Drosophila melanogaster: one gene and its partners. The protein of the gene in region 1 interacts with the protein of each later gene in a pairwise test. Each region holds a gene or a part of one and is shown on either strand. Other genes may lie near its edges. The genes, in order: Patj, CG13871 and mTTF.

What was found.
Region 2: the proteins of Patj (region 1) and CG13871 interact in a two-hybrid assay, tested with the Drosophila melanogaster proteins (one large-scale study listed by BioGRID).
Region 3: the proteins of Patj (region 1) and mTTF interact in a two-hybrid assay, tested with the Drosophila melanogaster proteins (one large-scale study listed by BioGRID).

Annotation. Positions count from the first base shown.
Region 1 is NT_037436.4:1,795,158-1,801,369, reverse strand, and holds the start of Patj (patj), read right to left. Parts: upstream 2,568-6,212; 5' UTR 2,447-2,567; exon of another isoform or gene 2,417-2,446; intron 2,389-2,416; exon of another isoform or gene 2,361-2,388; 5' UTR 2,222-2,360; coding exon 671-2,221; intron 611-670; coding exon 1-610. Other genes in the region: CG12020 (uncharacterized protein), read right to left, coding at 2,841-2,956, 3,021-4,005; Cdc37 (cell division cycle 37), read right to left, coding at 4,196-4,468, 4,533-5,192, 5,374-5,577, 5,638-5,670. UniProt on the Drosophila melanogaster protein: Involved in cell polarity establishment. Probably participates in the assembly, positioning and maintenance of adherens junctions via its interaction with the SAC complex.
Region 2 is NT_033778.4:20,314,481-20,320,692, reverse strand, and holds CG13871 (uncharacterized protein), read right to left. Parts: upstream 3,371-6,212; 5' UTR 3,286-3,370; coding exon 1,723-3,285; 3' UTR 1,654-1,722; downstream 1-1,653. Other genes in the region: tapas, read right to left, coding at 671-880.
Region 3 is NT_033779.5:14,345,493-14,351,704, reverse strand, and holds mTTF (mitochondrial transcription termination factor), read left to right. Parts: upstream 1-2,914; 5' UTR 2,915-2,998; coding exon 2,999-3,407; intron 3,408-3,471; coding exon 3,472-4,052; intron 4,053-4,107; coding exon 4,108-4,350; 3' UTR 4,351-4,466; downstream 4,467-6,212. Other genes in the region: l(2)34Fc (lethal (2) 34Fc), read left to right, coding at 1,925-1,996, 2,066-2,473; Send2 (spermathecal endopeptidase 2), read left to right, coding at 5,051-5,770. UniProt on the Drosophila melanogaster protein: Transcription termination factor. Binds promoter DNA and regulates mitochondrial replication and transcription.

The DNA of each region.
Region 1 (6,212 bases):
TAGCCAATCCGGTTAGTGGCTCCAGGGAGCGCGACTTCAGCTTACTAAACGAAGCAGCGGCGGCAGCCACTGAATCTCCATCGGCCACGGAGCCCGCGGTGGCCAGACTACCATCTGATTTGGCCTTCACCAGACGATCGGTAGCAGGCAGCAGGTTCTCAAAGTTGTTGCTTAGCTTTTTCAGGGTGTCATCAGAGAATGGGAGAAGCGAGCTGTTCCTGTTGCGACCGCAAACCATGCGCACATCCAACGGCAGTTCCTTAAGTATAGCCACCACCTCCAGGTGGTTCATACCCAGCAACCGCTCGCCGTTTACCTCCAGCAATTCATCGCCAGAGCGGAGTACTCCATTCACGCCAACGGGTCCATCAGGTAAGATTGAACGAATATAGTGATGGGGTCGTACCTCGCGCCCTCCTTCTACGTCCACGGTTCCCTCCAAGGAAATCCCCAAGCCTCCGACCGCGAACTTCTTGATCTGGGCCACAATCACCTCCACATCGGAGCCCACAATCTTCTGCCATTTGCGAATAATTTCGGTTTCGGCGTCGTCGGACAGTTCCGGATCGGTGTAGTACTTGTGACGGGTGATCACCCCGCTGTTCTTGGCCTAAAACATGTTAATGCGCTATACGTTTTGCTGCTGTGTTACCCGTTAGCTAATACTCACCTCCGTTTTATCCGCCAAGGGTACAACTTCCGTGGGTATGATCTTCGTGGAGCCGTCTAGGGAGTCCCTTACTGCTACTAGTTGCTTACCCGCTCCAAAGGAGCTTAATGTGGTGGTGGTCATTGTGGTGACCGACGGCGGAGTGGTCATGAATGCTTCTGGCGCTGGTAAGGCTTCCTCTTCCAACTCGCGAGTGATGCTGCGTGATGGTGTAGTTGTGGCGGAGGACGTTGTGGCCACGGGCGTGGGCATGGGAGCCCTTGAAGGCGTTCCAGGTGCACTGGATGGAAGCTTGTCATTCGCAGCGATAGCCTGCTGCAGCTGCTCGAATTTGGGGCCCCTCAGGTAGCGTTCCAAGCGCAGGTTCACCACCTGACCAGACTTCTTAAGCAGCTCTACGGCCTGGTGGTTGGAGTAGCCTTGTAGCGACTGGCCGTCAACTTCAATGATGCGATCGTTGACCCGGATGCGACCACTCAGGTCCGCTGCTGAACCGGGCGACACGCTCTTTACGAAAATGCCAGACAGCTCTTCTTTCTCACACACATAGCCGGCAATTGTGATGCCCAGGCCGTTGGCATCCTTCTTCAGCTCCACCTGAAGCTTCTCCGTTTCAGGAAGGGCAAGCAATTCCTCTAGGTCGATGTTTGGATCAATAAGCATTGATGTCTCGCCGCGATAAACGAAACGATCGTCTTCCGTGGTGGTCTGCGGAGTGGAGGCCGTGGAGCTCTCGCCAAAGATTTCCGGATAGCCGGTAGATATGAGGTACCGCTCCAGCTCGGCAGGATCGACGAGGACGCGCGTGGGCACCACAGCAGTGCCCGGTTCCAGGGCGTACTGGGGCGTAGGCACGCTCTGCTCAACGGGACGGGCAACCACTAGGCGGACGTGGGTTCCAGACTGTCTCAGCACGGCAGCCACCTGTTCGGATACCATTTCGTGCAGGTTGACGTCTCCAATCTGGAGGATGTGGTCGCCCGAGCGCAAGCGTCCGTCCTTATCGGCCACGCCACCCGGCAGGATGGTTTTTACAATCACTCCCGAGTTGCGAGCTCCAATAATACCGAATCCGAGACCCGTGCCGTCGTTGACCAGCTCTATGGCCTGGATCTGAGCGTAGTCCGTGGCGTAGAGATCCGCCACTCCGGCTCCTTTGGAGTTCTGGCTCTGCGGGCGCGGCTCCTCGCCGACGCCTCCGGACTTATCTGGACTGCCCGGAGCCGAATGGGAGTGCGAGGAAGAGCGCTGTTCGTCAAAGTCGTACATCACCTCGCCACCATTCAGACTGAGTACAAGGTTGCCGGCCACATCGATGTCGAAGTCGTTGGGCAACATGGACGGATGCTGAGCCAGCTGGGCGTTCAGCTCGGACAACGAGTCCTGCACGTGGACGATGGTGCGGAAAACGGGATCCTGCAGAATGCCCAGAATGGTGCTAAGGCTCTCGGCCGTCTGCATTTGCAGCTTGGGGTCGTCGGACTCATCGATGCCCTTCTTCACTGCCTCGATCTGCTGAAGGGCGCTGGAAATATCCGCGCTGAGGTGCATCTTGCGTCAGTGGGCGTGGTCAGCGAGCGGTGCGCGGTGCGGTCAGTGGAGCGTGGTCCCCGTCTCTATCCCACTTCCGCTGGCGTTTCTATGGACTTCTGGGTGGGGGCGTTGTGGCGTTGGCACACTTTGTCCTAAACTGCAAAACGGGTAATTCGATTTGGGCTCTAAGTGGGACAGCTTCGGATCAGTTACTGTGCCGTTTGGATGCAGCGAGTTGTTTACCCTCTCCTATGCACTCTTTTCGGTGGCCACTTGCTCTGCTGCTGCTGCTGTAATTGATTTTTAATTATCTCTGAAATGGAATGCCAAATGCATTTTCTTTTCACAAACAGCTGATGGACAGGGTTGCCGAGCGGCTGCGTTGTGCATCGATAAGCAATCGACATAATCGGAACAGTTGCCACCTTTTCAAAATCAATTCAAATTCGACCGTTACATCTGCTAATTTAATTAAATCTAAGATTTTTGAATATAGTCTGCATGTGCTCGTATGTAATATGGCTATACGAAATAACCCAACAACATCTATCCTTTTAAACGCAAATTTTGAATTTAATTTCTCTGTACGCACAAATATCTGTGTTCCAAATACGGAAAAACAATAAGGTGTCTGCCATCAAACCATGTTACGTTCCTCCTCCTCCTCCAATTCTATTTCGAGCTTGCGGAATTCGCGGAAGAATTCGCGAGTGATATGCTTCATATGTGGAGTCAAGTACTTGGGAAAGATATCTGCAGAAGAAACAGAGAAACTATCAGAAACTATTGAAACCTCCAACAGAAAAGGAAAACCCACAATCAAATTCTATAATGAGATCCCCGAACTGCTCCACCTTCTTGTTGGCCTCCTTGATGGCCGTAACTGCATCCAAATTGCGGCACTTGGGGAGTCCCTCGAGGGGAACCACTTTGGTGTATCCCGGCTGCACTACGTCCGTAATGACCACCTTCAACTGGCGCCGGTCCAGCGTGCAAATGAAGAACGTGAAGCCGGTGAAGGCCTGGCACAGGCCAATAGACTGCCTGTAGACCAGGTCGTGTTGGTTTCTCCTCTCAAAGTCCGGATGCGGCTTGTCGGCGGCAATGAAAATAATATCACCCGGAATGGTGGCCGGATAGCGATCGCCCTCCTCCTTGAAGCAGAAGCGAGTTCCGGCCGTAGTTCCCGGGGCAATGTTCAGCTTTAAGGTGTGCTTGCGCTTCTCCAGCCGCGACTCCTTGGCGTCCACGATCTCCTGGCGCCACACGTTCATCAGCTTGACGCAGCCAGTGCGTACTTCCTCCAGCGACAGCTCGATGATCCTCTCCGTACTGGCGTCCTTGGAACGCACGCCAATGCCATGCTGGCGCGTAGCGTACAAGCTCGGTGGATTGGAGATCGCATCGATCACGTTGGCATACGGCGAGTAGCTACCGAAGACCCGCTCGTAGACCTTCATGTGGTCGCCGTCGTACTGATAGGGCGGAAAGTATCCGTTCGGCAGCATGACGCCCTCGAACAAACCCGCCTCGCCAAAGCGATCGTATATGGCCCGGTACAGATCGTTGCCCAGCACATCGAAGGCCATGTTGACGTAGGCCCACTGCCTGGGCTCGCCCATGGGTGAGAGGTGCGTGAGACGACCCTCCTGGGCCAGCGGCACAAAGTCCTGCTCGTCCTTCTTGTCGCGATGTGGGCAAAGCCGAATGGCCAGGCGGCGGTAGGCCAGAGTAATCTGCTCCTTGGTGGCGCCTCTGGGCTGATCCAGCACCGCGTAGTAGTCCAGCTCCGGCCGGTTCATTGTTTCTATTCGGAGTCGAAGCGTATAACAACTGGCAGAAGTGTTCACAGAATGTTTGACGTGTGACTGAGAATTTATTCAAATTATATACAATAACTCAACTGACGCAGGATCTGGCTATGGATGAAATATGCTTGTGGACAAATACATTAAGATTAGAGCTATGGTGTAGATGGAAACGTGGCGGCGATCAGTCAACGTCCTCGGTGCTGACGCCAGTGTAGATGGGCTCCTCCTTGGCTGCACTCTCTGATTTGGCATCGTCGGTCTTCTCCTCGCCACCGGCGACGTCATCCGAGTCATCTTCCTCCTTCTTGTCACCCTCCAAGTCAGCGGCATTGGGCACCCAGAGACCAGAGTCCACACAACGCTTCATGTGCAGCTTGGCGACGTCCACGGGCATGGCCGCAATGGTCTTCTGCAGCAGCTCTACGTCGCGGGACTCGAAACAGGCCTTTAGTTCCTGCGGAGCAAATACATGAAAAGTTAGTCAAGTAATTCCCATACAGTGAATCACTAGAACGTACATCGGGCAGGGATTCAAAGACATCGGCTGGGTCCAGACCACCAGGTCCGAGGCGCTCCTTGCGCTCCTCCTCTTCGGCCTGGGCTATCGCCTCCTGGATCTTCTCCTGCGCACGCTTCTGGATACGTCCTTTGAAACCTTCGATCTCGCTGTCGAACTGCGCGCGGTACTCGGGATGACAGTGCTGGATCTTTGAGAAGAAGGAGCTGACACAGGCGCGAGGATCCACGTCCAGCTGTTTGGCCAACTCTAGAATGTACTGCATGCAAATGCACTGATGCGCCACGTGGGCCATCAGCTCGTGCTTCTCCTCCATTTCCAGGTTGATGGACCAAATGACTAGGTAGTTGGCCGTCTCCTCGCCCACCAAGTGAAGATGCTCCTGCAGAAACCGCTTCGAATCGTCGTACTTGCGCAGCATGCCATACTGCTGGCAGAGCTTCTCGTTCTCCTTGACGAATTGCTTCATGCGCTGCTCTCGCTCTTCCTCGGACAGATTCTCATCCGGCTTGCGGCCGGCCTTCTTGTTGATTACGGTCTTCTCAAAGCCGGGCTTGCTGATGGTGTCCACGTTCCAGGGTGTTTTCTTTTCCTTCTTAATCATCTCGCTCTCGATGCGGTCCAGCTCTTTGCCCTCGGCCTCGATCTTTTCGAGCTCTTTCTGTAGGCGATACAAATTAGGGATTAAGCATTGCGATGAAAGATGGATGGCCACTTAGGATGATAGTCAATCATAAGCTTGACAATAAGAATAAATTAGATGGATTGAGAACATAGGGAACTCCCAGACCAGGCATTAGCCTAAGCAACAAGTGCGCAGTGCATTCGGTGCAATGACCCACCTTCAGGGCCTCCTCGTCGCCATCCTTCTTTGAGATCCGCTCCTTGACGTCCATGAGGCGCGCCTGGTAGCTCTGGCGCTTTTTCTTAAGCTCGTCCTTCTCGTGGTCCATCTCCGCCATGCGCTCCACGCGCGCCTGGTGCCGCCAGCGGAACAGAGAAGGCGTGTCTATGTTTGGGTGAGTGTCGTCCTCATCATCCGAAATCTAAAAGGTAGTGTGCCGATTAGGAGGACTTTTTGGGTTGGCACCCAGCAGTGGGCTCACCTCGATGTTCTTCCACTTGCTGTAGTCCACCATTTTGCTGTTTCTTTGCTTCGGATTTATATTTGAATGTAAATGCTGCAGGTTTTTGTTCTTTTTCGGCTGCTTCCTTTTTTTGGATTGCTCTGGAAATTAGTGTGACCGCAGGGCTATTGCGGAATAATACCATAATAAGCCCCGCTTACTCTGGGGCCGCGCTAGGAAATAGTAGTCATGCATGAGTGCACCAGATTGAATTGAAATACCCTGTCGTTTTTAATTTATTTACATCATCTACTACTACTCATCTACATCTACTAGAAAAATAATGAGATGACTAAGGCGCCAAAGCGACCAGAAAGAGAACTATGTTTATAATCGATTGACATCGATAGAAATCGCGATATTGATGTCAATGTTCTGCGCCAATCGGCCGACATATTGAAAAAAACTGCGGTCCCGTGAAATAGAGGCGCTCCGTGAAAATTACGAATAACTACTGCAAATCAATAGTTAAATTAACAAAGTAACTGTGAACAAATAGATTGCCATCAAAGTGTAAGTTTCTACATAGTTTTCGTCCGTAGCTCACTGTTAGT
Region 2 (6,212 bases), on another chromosome or scaffold:
TTACACTTTTCACGGCGCAGATGAAAAGAAGAAGACGCCGTTGACACGTTGCCCCTTCAGCGGCGGGCGGCCCCTTTTCGACGGAGAGAGCGGGCGGGAACGGTCCGTCGAGCGGTCGGTCACACAGAGTGAAGCGGTAAGGTAGCAGCGCAGCAGCAGCGGCTCACCGCACGCGTTCAGCCAGAGAATCGAACTGAAAGCGGTGGGCGCCGCTCGCGAAAAGCTCGATAGTCAGCGGCGATGACCACCTGTCTAAGTTAACGTCAGATCTAGCGGTTTTTATGGCCATATTAGTAATTACAAACTCTCATTAAAGGTGAAATCAAAACGGAACTAGCTAACCATCTCCTTTTCCTAAATTCAGTAACACTGATTTCTTTAATTCCAGTATTCTAATTAATTAAAATACATTGAAAAGAAAGTAAAAAATATCTAGCTAGTTTTAGCTAACAGCTATGGTGACACCAGCAGAGAGCAACTCGAAAGCTGCGCACGTGAGAGAGGCACCCAGAGAGCAAGCTCAGGCGAAGTGGGCAAAAGAAAGCGGTTAAAGTGGGTGGAAGAGAGCCGCTCACTCCCTGACATTTGCGATATGCAATAATTCGCAAAGAATCTTGCCAACAATTTAGGCAACAGGCGTAACAATTGGAAGGACGGAGATGGCACTTACCTGATTACCGCTTTGGTGAAAGTTGAATTGATTCGAATCCTTAAGCAGCTCTTGGTCATTCGAGTAGCCCAGCCTGCGAAAGGGTATCGGCTCACCCTCAATCTCCATGTAATCTGCGACGATGGACCGCAGCGTAACCGGCGGCTTAGCTGACGTGATTAGGGCCCTGACCACCTTGGCCACGTATTCCAGGACCTCCTGCTTTTCCATTATGATCGTTCCACGATTCTGTCGAAGAGAGCGAGAGGCGGAGAGAGGTTAACCCATTGAGCATGATTCAAGTGGCGTGGAATGCGTGCGCCCACCGCCACCCCCACTCCCAAATCAGCAACAATTAAGCATGCACAGAAAAAAACAACGCGGCAAAAAGAAATTTCTAATATACTATTTCTAAACTATAGGGTCTAAAGGGTTGAAAGGGTCTAAATTATTCTGCAAACATTGAGTTGCGCCTGTTCCGCGTTATTCTTTCAGTGTGCACAATAAAATTGGCAAACACAGGGCTAGAAAAATAAGACGGACAAGGGGCAAAAAATAAAGAGAATAGAGACGAGAAAGAGATGGACGAAAGCGGCGGCGCAGACGCAGAATTAAATTATTTTGATCTATATTTTAGAATTTGATTTCGTTTGTGCAAATACAAAGAATGTGTCGTAATGCGATATTGTGAGTTTTCTGTCCTTACCAAACTATTAAACAATTAATAAAAATCGAGTCTCAGCAAGATATGCACTGCAAACTGCATAAATGAGACTATTGGGGTTTTCCTGAGAAATGAATATTCCGATGATCCCGAACGAAGTTCCTTTTAACACAACAATACGGGAGTTCATTCTCGCTTGACGTTTCTAAAATTTTCGGCGCCTTCTAGTGAGACCGTGGGCTGGATGTCAAAAAATACGTCAAGTGGCATATAAATACGAAAAGCTATAAGCAAGCACTGTCTTAGGGTTAACGTATTGGCGCCAAAATTCAAACTTCTTATTTTTAAAATATATTTAAGTGTTGAATAAATGTTTCAATAAAACTCTGTTAATATTTATACAAATGACTTAATAAAAAACTCCTGCAATGGGTAGCTTTTTAGTCTGTGTCTGCTTTTCCATAGCGTACAACTTGTGTTTTTTCTTCTTTCTTGGTCTCAATTCAAATGTATTGCCTGGATGCAGTTCATCATCGCTTGTGCCCTCCAATTGAACAGCATTCATTTGTGCTCGCGGCGACGAGCTAAGAGAATCCTTTCTGGGAAAGGAGGACATTGGCTTGACTACCACGCTCAAGGCTTCCAGATTGATACGTCTGTTGTCGTCGGAGGTTTCTGGTTCCAAAGGAGTAAAAGGCTCCATGGAATTTATGGACTTCAGTGGCTTTCGAGGCTCCTGAAAAGGTTCCAGGCGTGCAGCAGCCGCCGGAGCAACCTCAAACCTCTTTGGCTTCATTGGCCTCCTTAGCTTCATCTGCTGCTGGTGCTCCTCCCACACCCGATCCTGCAGTTTCAACTCCTCCTCCTTGGCCACTGCCAAGTCGTACAAGCTCTCTTTTTGGCTCGCTGGTCGAATTCCAAAGGAAAATACCCTGGATGGTGGCCTTGGCTCGGGTTTTTCGATACGTTCAGACGTCTTTGTTGTTGGTTCTTTCTCTTTAACGTGGTTCTCCGATACATCGTCGTCCGTTGAGTGACTTAGCAGTTCCAATTCCAGGTAGTTGAGATTCTTGAGCACCGATAGGGCATGCTGCTTGGTGGCCAAAATGATTTCCAGCAGCACCTTGGCACCTCCTAGCTTTTGAGATTTCGTCGATATGGGGCACTTATTACTGGGCTTAATCCTTTGAGCAGATGGCTTTCGCGTCGTTGGTGGACGCGAAGGTGCGGAAGGCGGAGGACGAGGTGTTGGTGGAGATGTGGGAAGCGGCTTGAGCGGAGGATCGGATGAGGGTTCCGGAAGGCAGAAAGTGGTGGGACTGCGCGTTGTGGTACTAAGGGTCGTCCGATGAGTCGTAGGGCTTCTTGTGGTGAACCCGTGGGATCGAGCCGTGGTGCCACGACAAGGCCCAGACTTCCTGGGCTGATCGACCTTGGAGCTAATGACCTTGGCCAGCAAATTGGCTGTTGCCACAGCTGGTTTTCCATCCAGCTGCTGGTCGTTTAAGTAGCCACCCAGCACCCTCTTGAGCTCACGATCGGACTTACGCTCATTCAAATGCTCATTGAAGTTCATCCTGGCCAGGGACTCGAAGGGATCATCCACATCCTCCTTACCCAGACAATCATCGTGCATTCCCTGTCCAATGGCGCCGTCATCAATCGGAAATTTGTACAAGTTATCTTTGAGCATCTGGGCGGCAACATTCGTGGGACCAACCAGATAGTGTTCCGATTTCACCTTGCCAGCAGCAGCCATTTTTTCTGGAATTCCCAATTTCTGCTCCATGTCGTCCAGCCGCTGGAAGAGCAGTTCCGGATCGGAGAAGTATCGCTGCTCCGAAGGCGCCAAGTCCCTTCGCTCGCTGCCGAACGGCCGCCTGGGCCACGAGGTATCCGCATATGAGTACCTGCGTACTGATCTTCCTTCGGATCGGTCGGTCGCTTGTCCAACGCTCGCCAGGATTGCCATTGCCAGTAATGAAAGTCGGACTGCGCTGTGGCTCAAAATCCGCGTTGACATTGTTCTCATAAGCACAACATCTTGCTGGAATTATCGCCGAGTCATGTTTGTAAAATTCCTTATATTCGAAATCAGTTCCATGACATGTTATGCTCATTGGTTGTTTTTATGTTTAAATAATTTTTTAAAAATCTTCTATAATTAAAGCGAAGAATTCTAAAAAAAAAAGTATACATTAAAAGTGAATTGGTAGATTATTTGCCCAAAGAACTCAAGTGGTCAAGTAGAGTTTAAATGGTAGTAAATAATCTTTTTAATATTTTGTTGAAAGAAGGCAGTCATATTTTTCTTGCTCAACAAAGGACGACGTCAGGTCGAACTTCTAAGGACACGGAGAAGGCTTGTTCAAGCAACAAAGCATAACGGGAATCAGTGGTTGGAAGGTTACTGGAAATCGGACTGGAAAGTGGAAATGCTGTGCTCATTCAGTTCGTAAGCCACAGTCGAGTTTTTCACGTCCAACTGTGCAGCACATCCTCGAAATAAATGGACATATTAAATACAAACTAAATTATAATAAATTGTGAAGTTAAGCGAAAAACAGAGATTTCCCATATCTCCCTGAAAGTTTTGTGTCATAGGCGTGTTTTCAAGAGTTTGCGAACTCATCGTTAAATGACACTCAAACGCAAAAGGCACAAAAACTAAACGCTAAACGGGGTCCGAAATCCTTAGTTAATGCCTTAAATACAAGCGGAAACCAAGTGTTGCGAAACCAAGTGCAATGACTGTCCTCAATATGCACGCCAAAATGATAATATTGATTTTATTTTTCTACAACGGTTCCTACAACTGGAGTAAAAAGCAGTAAGAGGCTCCTGGCTTCCACGCATTTCCTGCGGCAGGCGGCGTTTCATTTCATGTGTGTGCCGTCCTGCGATTGATAATACTCCCAATTATAATAAGGTAATGGGCTCCTGGCTTCTGTTTCCTGGCATCTCCAACTCCCTCTATTGATTTTGCCACTTGGCCAAATGACTGCGGTAACCAGGCAATTTGAGCCAAAAAGCAACACCAACGGGGAGCAGACAACAAAGAAATTGTCAATAAAAGTGCGCAAGAGCAGGGCATCCCCAACGCGACAGTGGCGTCCCGGAATATAAGGCCCAGTTAACAACTAGTAATATTTCAATAAATGAATGATTTCTTTTGTAAAAAAAGAAGAAGAAAACACAAATATTTGGAAAAAAAAAGTACACAAAGCCTAGTGCTCTTTTCTAGAATTAATGTTTATGAATTTAATATAAACATTTATTGCAGTCATTTTGTCAAGGTAGTTTCTTTAGACAAAGCTATATATTAACTTTATATTTATTTATCTTAACTTGTTATCATAAGTAATATTTAAGTCAGGACATCGAGTATACACATTTGAACGCCCTGGAGTGTTGGGCTCTGTGTTCTCGTTCCTCCTTCCAGGACTTCCAGCCTCTGTTCCGTGTGGAATGTGCATAGCCTTCCAGCGCCTGCGCCCTGGTGTCCTGTTGTTTTGATAGTAAAAAGGACATGGCAGTGCAGTTGTTTACAAACACGCACGCCAGACACGCGACACGTGGCGCAGGGAAGTTTCTGGAAGGCATATCGGGTCATGGATGTTGCTGGTTGATAGTGGGAGTGAGGAACACCGAATCTCGAGCGGATCCCATATATTACGCCCATTCCAAAGGCCGGCCGGCTGGGACGACTGGGCCGACTGGGCCGACGTGGCGGATGAGCGATGTCTGCCAACGGTGACGTCATAGTGGGCCAGCGACATTGAACTAGTTTCATCAGCACACCGCTCACATTTCACCAGTGACGTCAATGGAGAAAGCCGCACGTATTAAGCCAATAAGGCTTAAGTCAGCTCGACCTCCGAACTTTGTCTTCCGATCCAATAAAAAACACAACTCATCCAATAACATTGGCGACCAATTGTTATTGGCCTGCCTCGTAAATCGTCTGCCACAACAGCCCTGAGCTTCTTTTGCGTCGCGAATTCATTAGCTAATTAATAATTATGAATTCGATTGATAGTTTATTTATTTGAAGCTTAGACATCTGAATCGATGTCGCACTGTTTATTTGCTTCCTTCTTTGGCTTTCAAAATAGGATTGCTGGTCCAAATAAATTGTTATGGAACATAGATAAGTGTGGTCTGTGGTAATAATTTTCATTTTTTTATGATTACTCTCCAGATAAGTAATCATATTTCGAGTAGCCTTAAAGCACTCAAAATAGCTAAATAATCAGCCAATTCCCTTTCAAAGTGCGCAGTCTTTATAACTCTCAAGAACTAAGTTTTCTTCAAGCCGAAAAGCAAAAAAAAAAAACTTAACAGATTGCCTTCTCGCATTGCAATTGCTGTTTTTCTAGTTTCATTCTCTTAGATATTTGAATAACCTTGGGCTGGTGCAATACACTAAATTCAAATTGCACCATCAAAAAATGTTTGTCTACATCTCGGCAAACACGGCGAGAATTTCATTACGACGCAGTTATAAAGATCTCGACTATATGGCCGCTATATAAAACGACCCACCAAATGGGGCGGTATGGTGGGCGCAGGGGGCGTGGCAGTCGGCCTGGTTGGCACAATCCGTAAACAAAAACAAATGAAAAGCGCCACAGCATTTGGCATTGTTCCGCATGGCGGTGGGGCCTCGAGAAAAATGGGATCACAAGAACAGCTGCCAAAGGCGCCCTAGGCCTACGATTTGGATTACAGTGTAGCATGTAATATATTTTTAATCTGTTCAGACAAAGAAGTAATAAAGTTGCATATAAGTTTAAGGATTATAAGTTTAATAATGACATTTGTTTAACTAACGAAGCACTAACTAAACAATTATGAAAACATTTCTAAGCAGTATTCTTTTCACCTGTCATTATCTAG
Region 3 (6,212 bases), on another chromosome or scaffold:
AGTCACTGTTTATGTCGCTTCACAAATGAAGCGTTAAAAATTCAATTTGCAAGCTCAGCTTTCGGAGCTTTCGAATTTGGCCAACTTGCTGGTATGGCAGTATAAGCTCGGCTTACAAAGTTGTCTTTGCAAAAGCTACTTCACTACTTTTGATCAGTTTTTTGGTATAAATAGGAAGTTGTTTTAGAATTTTCAGCTCATTTCAAGTTTTTCTTTTCTGCCGCTTGTGTGTGTGTATTTCTGATCGGTAGGTTTAAATGATTAAGCAATTAGTTTACTTGGCCTAAACGATTTTCAAAGTTCAGTTGATTTTTTGTGAAACAGTTGTAAAGGTTTAAAAACTTAAAGGATTTGTACTCTTCCTTTTTTTCGGGTTTTAAAGTGACTAAGCTTAATTTAGAATACATATTCTAATATGATCATTAAAAAAAAAACCTTTTCGGAAATGACATAGATAGTTTCGGTATGAATGCGAATTTCAAGCTTCAGCAGTTCTGTCCCACCAACTTGATAATAATAATATTTTCCAAGCCATTATAAATGTTGGCTAATTGAGGCCTATGGCCATAGCTCAGCGTAATGACATTAAACAACCATGTATTGAGATTTTATCTAAACAAATCGCCCAACCGGTTGGACAAAGGCCCATAAATACATAAATATACGGCTAAAAGTCGCAGAGGGAAAGAAATAAAGAAGCAAAACTTGGCTCCGACACTAACATGTCCAATATTGAACTTTAGCATATTGCAAGACAAATGGAAACTTGGCTTACGGGCCGGTCTTGACAAGGTCTTTTCGAATCCATGGCGACCCAAGTGGAGGAGGCCGACGATCAATCAGATCGGTACTTCGAACTCCACAAGCCTCCAATCCACCTTGAACCTGAGAATTCGATTTGAGGAAGTACTTAGGCTGTTGTCTTCAATTGTCACTTGTCATTTCTAGGCGATTTTTATCGCACGGTAAAAAAAAGAGTTACTCTTCTATGGAAATGTACTGCAAACTGGTTTGGCTTTAAACAGTTTTCGTTTACGTCCGAAAAACCAGTTTGATGATTTTTTAAAAATTGGTTTAATCAACATGCATCTTGGCCAATTTCAATATTGAACAAAGCTTTTGTCTGCGCCTTCTTAATTCTGCGAATCTGAAGATTTACGAGCCGATCGTGATTGAAATGTTAAGTTCACTTCGAGTGGTTTCCCGTAAATAATTAAAATGTTTTGATTGACATTTTTTTTCGGCACTAATACTGGTTATTACAAATCAGACAGTAACACTGCAGCCTAATCCACAAATCTTGTAGAATCACAGACTGTCAACAGTCAAGGCTGCAGAGAAATATACCCATTATGGCGACAACTGGGACCGAACAAACTGCATAATAAACGTTGGCGTTGACAAACTGCATAATTGGAGCTAGTTTTCAATATATTTGCGCCTGCCCACGTATACAAGTGTAAACTTTGAAAAGGAAAAAAAAAAAACTAAATAAATAAAAAACTTAAGCAAAGTCAAACTGGCCAAGGCCAGTGAAAAAAGTCTCACTTGAGTGGAAATGTTAATTAATTAATTTATGAAAAACTAGTTAACGCAATTAAGCAGCATGCACGAATCTAAAAATGTTAAACAATGACCGGCAGTAAATATATTTTAATATGTAATTGGATTCAACTTGAAAGCACTAGAAGTTGAAAGTAGAAACATTGACAAGTACTTGTGTCATTAAAACTTGTTCTGCTTAAGCATATTCGGTTATGGAAAATGGAAGGATTTCGCACACTCACTTGGTGCGCTTCGTCACTACGTGGACTGTTCTTCACAGTGATGTAGCATAATTAAGCCAACCAACTGGATTTTAATCGTTACTAAAGCGATGTTTCCAACTCATGTGATATTATTTTTAATTTTCCCTTAAACAGATATGTTCCGTTTGTTGGTTCTTGCGGCCTGCCTGGCCATCAGTGTCCACGCCTACTCCGATGGTGCTCCAAAGGTATGAACCTGCCCCATCGAAATACATGACGGATAGATTCCTTATATTCCCATCTTCATTATCCCAAAGGCCGCCTGTCGTGACCTGACGCCCCAGCACGGAGCCAAGCTGCAGGTGACCAAGCCGCCGTACAGCATCTCCGGACCCTCCCATGTGCGCTCGGATCAAAAGCTGACCCTGACGCTGGGCGGCGATGAGTTCCTTGGCTTCATGATCCAGGCACGCGATGGCCAGAACCGCGTCGTCGGCCAGTTCCAGGTGGTGGACTCCGTGCACTCGCAGACCTTGGACTGCTCCGGCAAGGACGACACCATCACCCATCTGAGTGCGCAAAAGGGCAAGCCGCTGACCGGCATCACCTTCGACTGGATTCCGCCAGCAGGCTACAAGGGCAACGTCAAGTTCATGGCCACCGTGGTGCAGACCGGATTCGTTTACTGGGTGGGTCGCGTCACAAAAGACATCGATGTGGAGTAGTGCTTGTGATAGATGTTTTCATGATTTGTTCAAAATCCTACAAGTCTTTGTTTAGCGTTAATGTTCCGATTAGCTTTGGAGCGTAGTATTTTTGAAAATAAAATCAAAAAGTTCGTTGATAAAATGGGAGTGATTTCAATTGTGGGACTCTCTGTCTAAGAATGCTTAGTAGATTTGAAAATAAATATTGGAAGTGTTTCACACTTATATTTAAAAAGTGTATGTGTATGTTATTGTGTATGAACCAGCACACTTCCTAAACATATTATGAAATCAATTGCACCTAGAAAAGTTATTATATTTTCCTAGAAAACAAATGCTAAATTTATTAAATTGCTGTTCCGAATAACGGTCATTATTTTCAAAACCGATAACGATAATTGTTTGAGTGTCGTATACTCCAGCTTTCAGTTGGCCCACTTGGTCAGCTGTTTATCGCCGCAACATATCAGCTGTTTTCCGCTTGTTTTATAAGTTGAAGAACTTTATTTTCTGTCTTGATTCTGTAAATTAAGCAAATTCGGGATGATTAGAAGCCTTCTGCGCAGCTTTGAGACGGCACTCAAGCTGCATGCCGGCTTAAATATGCACCCAATGCACTGCAGCAGGCGCCTACTCTTCTCGCAGTACGAAAACCGCGCCAGTCCGAGCAGACTGACCTCCAGTGGCACTTTAGGTAGCAACGAGGCGGAAAACGATTATGTGCCTTATCGCCAGGATCGGGAGACTGGAACCAAGACGCGGGTGCTCCTCGAAGCTCTGCGGGAACGTTTTCGCTTCACGGACGCTGAGCTCCAAAAGATAATCAGCGACGAGCTGGTGCACCGCTGCTACCGCGGTAGATCACTGACTCTGGTCATGGACACACTGCAGCTAGAGGGCGTTAGCAGGCGCAGCTTCGTGGAGTATCCTTGGCTACTGTCGCTGGACAATAGTAAGCTCATTTGCTTTATATCCTTTATGTGATTAAATCATCGGTTATTTGTTTATCTATTCAGAACGCTTGGAGCTAAAGATGCAGCTACTCAAGTCAATGGACTTTAAGGACATCAATCATTTTGTGCCTTTCCTGCGCCTCACTGTTCCACGTCTTCGAAAACTGGTGGGTGCTCTGAACTCTGAGAGGGATGCAATGCCACAGCGAAATCGTGTCTACTATATCAGCGAAAAGCTGGATGTCAGCCCCGATATTGTGAGCAAATATCTATCGAAGAGGCTGTTTATCCTGGAAATGCCGTTCGAGATGTTCGAAAAGAACCTGCAGCACATGATCGACTACAATGTGTCGCCAATAAACGTACTCAAGGATCTATGGGCCTTTCGCTATACTCCAAAGTCTGTTCAGTTGCGTTTGGAGCGCGCCAAGCGGGCGAAAAAGGACAAGATCATGCCGTGGATGGTGCGCTGCCCGGAGCCAATACTGCAGCGCTCCCTGAAGCTTTCTCTCGACGAACTGAAGGTTTTGGGAGAGTTCTCCTCCGTGGTGGAATACTTAGCGCATCGTCTTGGTTTCAGCACCAGTGAAGCCAAGGCAATCATGGACAAACATCCGCAGGTGCACACCGTGCGAGTTACCAAGGTAAGTCACAATGGGTTAACTCAAACAATCATAAGCTATACAATTTTGCCTTCAGATCAAAGAGGTGCTAGACTACCTACTCGATGAGGCCCAGTTTACCAGATTTGAGGTCGCTCAAAATCCTCGAATTCTATGCCACAGCCTGAAAACCACAAAGGAGCGCATGGAAGAACTGAAATCGCACGGTTGTCGACCCTCCTCTCTTGTAATTCTTTGCCGCAGCCGGAGGGAGTACGATAAGTTTTTGCAGAACTGGATAAGCCATGAAAGAAATCCGCAAAGTGTATCAGAAGGATGATGAACTGACGAATGACCTGATGCCATCACCGTGAAAGCTTAAAAAGTTGTTGTAAAGTTAAGATACTTTTTTCAAAAGTTTTGCCACGAAATTGAACACGATTAAAAGCCAATATTCAAAAAACGTTATTAATTACGACCAGGGGACCGCTGTTATGATGGTATCTTCATTTTTAAAGGACCCTTAACAAGTAAGGTTTCCATAATATTGTAAGGAAACCAATCAGGGAACCTTTTCGATTTCAATAGGTTTTTTAACCACCAGTCGGATTACTCGTCCTGCGGACAGAAAGTTTAGTTTGTTTAGTTTGGACGACTCTCTGCAGTCATTCTACCACTTCGGATGGCTTAATCAGTTGGAAATTTTCTTTCAACATTTATAAACGCAGAACAAACCAAATTGCAAACTTAGTTAATTAGAAAATTCCAGAAATGTTATTGCCCCTCCACATTTTCACCGTTAGCGATAAAAATTTCTTGAAAGCAAAAGGCAGCTAAATTATTTATGATGTTTATATTTAGCGAATGAAGTATTTTTCAATATTTTGATTGCTTTACAAGAATAGAGAATATTCTATATCTAGATACATAAACTATTACTGAGGTTCAAATAGAATATTGCTAACTGAGTTGTGTATAAAAGACTGGTTACTTTGGACGTGAAGCCACTGCAATTCAAAGTATCATACAAACTGGTCAAGATGTTCATCCAAAGCTTCCTGTTGCTATTGGCGCTCAATTCCCTGTCCGCAGGACCAGTAATCCGGCCGGAAGAACGCATTATCGGTGGACAACCCATTGGAATCGAGGAGGCACCATGGCAGGTGTCCATACAACGTGATGGCAAACATTTATGCGGTGGCTCCATTTACAGCGCAGATATCATCATTACTGCGGCCCATTGCGTCCAGGGCCAGGGATATCAAGTTCGGGCAGGATCCGCCTTGAAGAACTCCAATGGAAGTGTTGTCGATGTGGCCGCTATAAGGACGCATGAGGGATTAGGAAACGACATCGCCATCGTGCGGCTAAGTAAGCCACTTGAGTTCACAAACCAAGTTCAGCCCATTCCATTGGCCAAGACAAATCCCCCGCCTGGATCGATTGCCTTCGTCTCTGGCTGGGGAAGTTCTTCTTATTACTCACATCCCATCGATCTTCAAGGAGTAAACCTTTACATTCAATGGCCGTACTATTGTGGATTAACTGAACCGTCAAGAATATGCGCCGGATCTTTTGGAAGGGCGGCTTGTAAAGGAGACTCTGGTGGACCGTTGGTGTTTGACCAACAACTTGTGGGTGTTGTATCCGGGGGTACAAAGGATTGCACGTATAGTTCAATCTACACTAGTGTCCCATATTTCCGTGAATGGATCTTAAATGCTATCGATGAAATAATGTCAGCGAATCGAAACAAATAAATATTTACAATTGCACAACTAATTTTATCATTTGACTTGACTATTTCCACTATTTTGGCAACATCCCAATTTCCAACGTTTTGACACCCCCACTAGCTGAGTAATGAGTATCTGATAGTCGAATAACTCAACTCTAAATAAATTATTTCTGACAACTCGGTCACATTTATTGCAGACAGCAACTGCTTACACATTGAAATACATATATGCTTATGACATTAATAATTAATTAAAACATTTATAATTGATTTAAATATTTCTCTTAGCTAACATCTAAATACGACTTGTGCTCCATTTGAATACCATTGCGTAGTTGTACTTCAACAGAGAGTAGCAGTTTGATTTGTGACTGGCTTTAAAGCTAGAGAAGACATGGAGTAAGCGCCAACAGATTCCACAGCTTAAAAGTACAGATAAAGCTATAAATTTGAAAACCACTTCA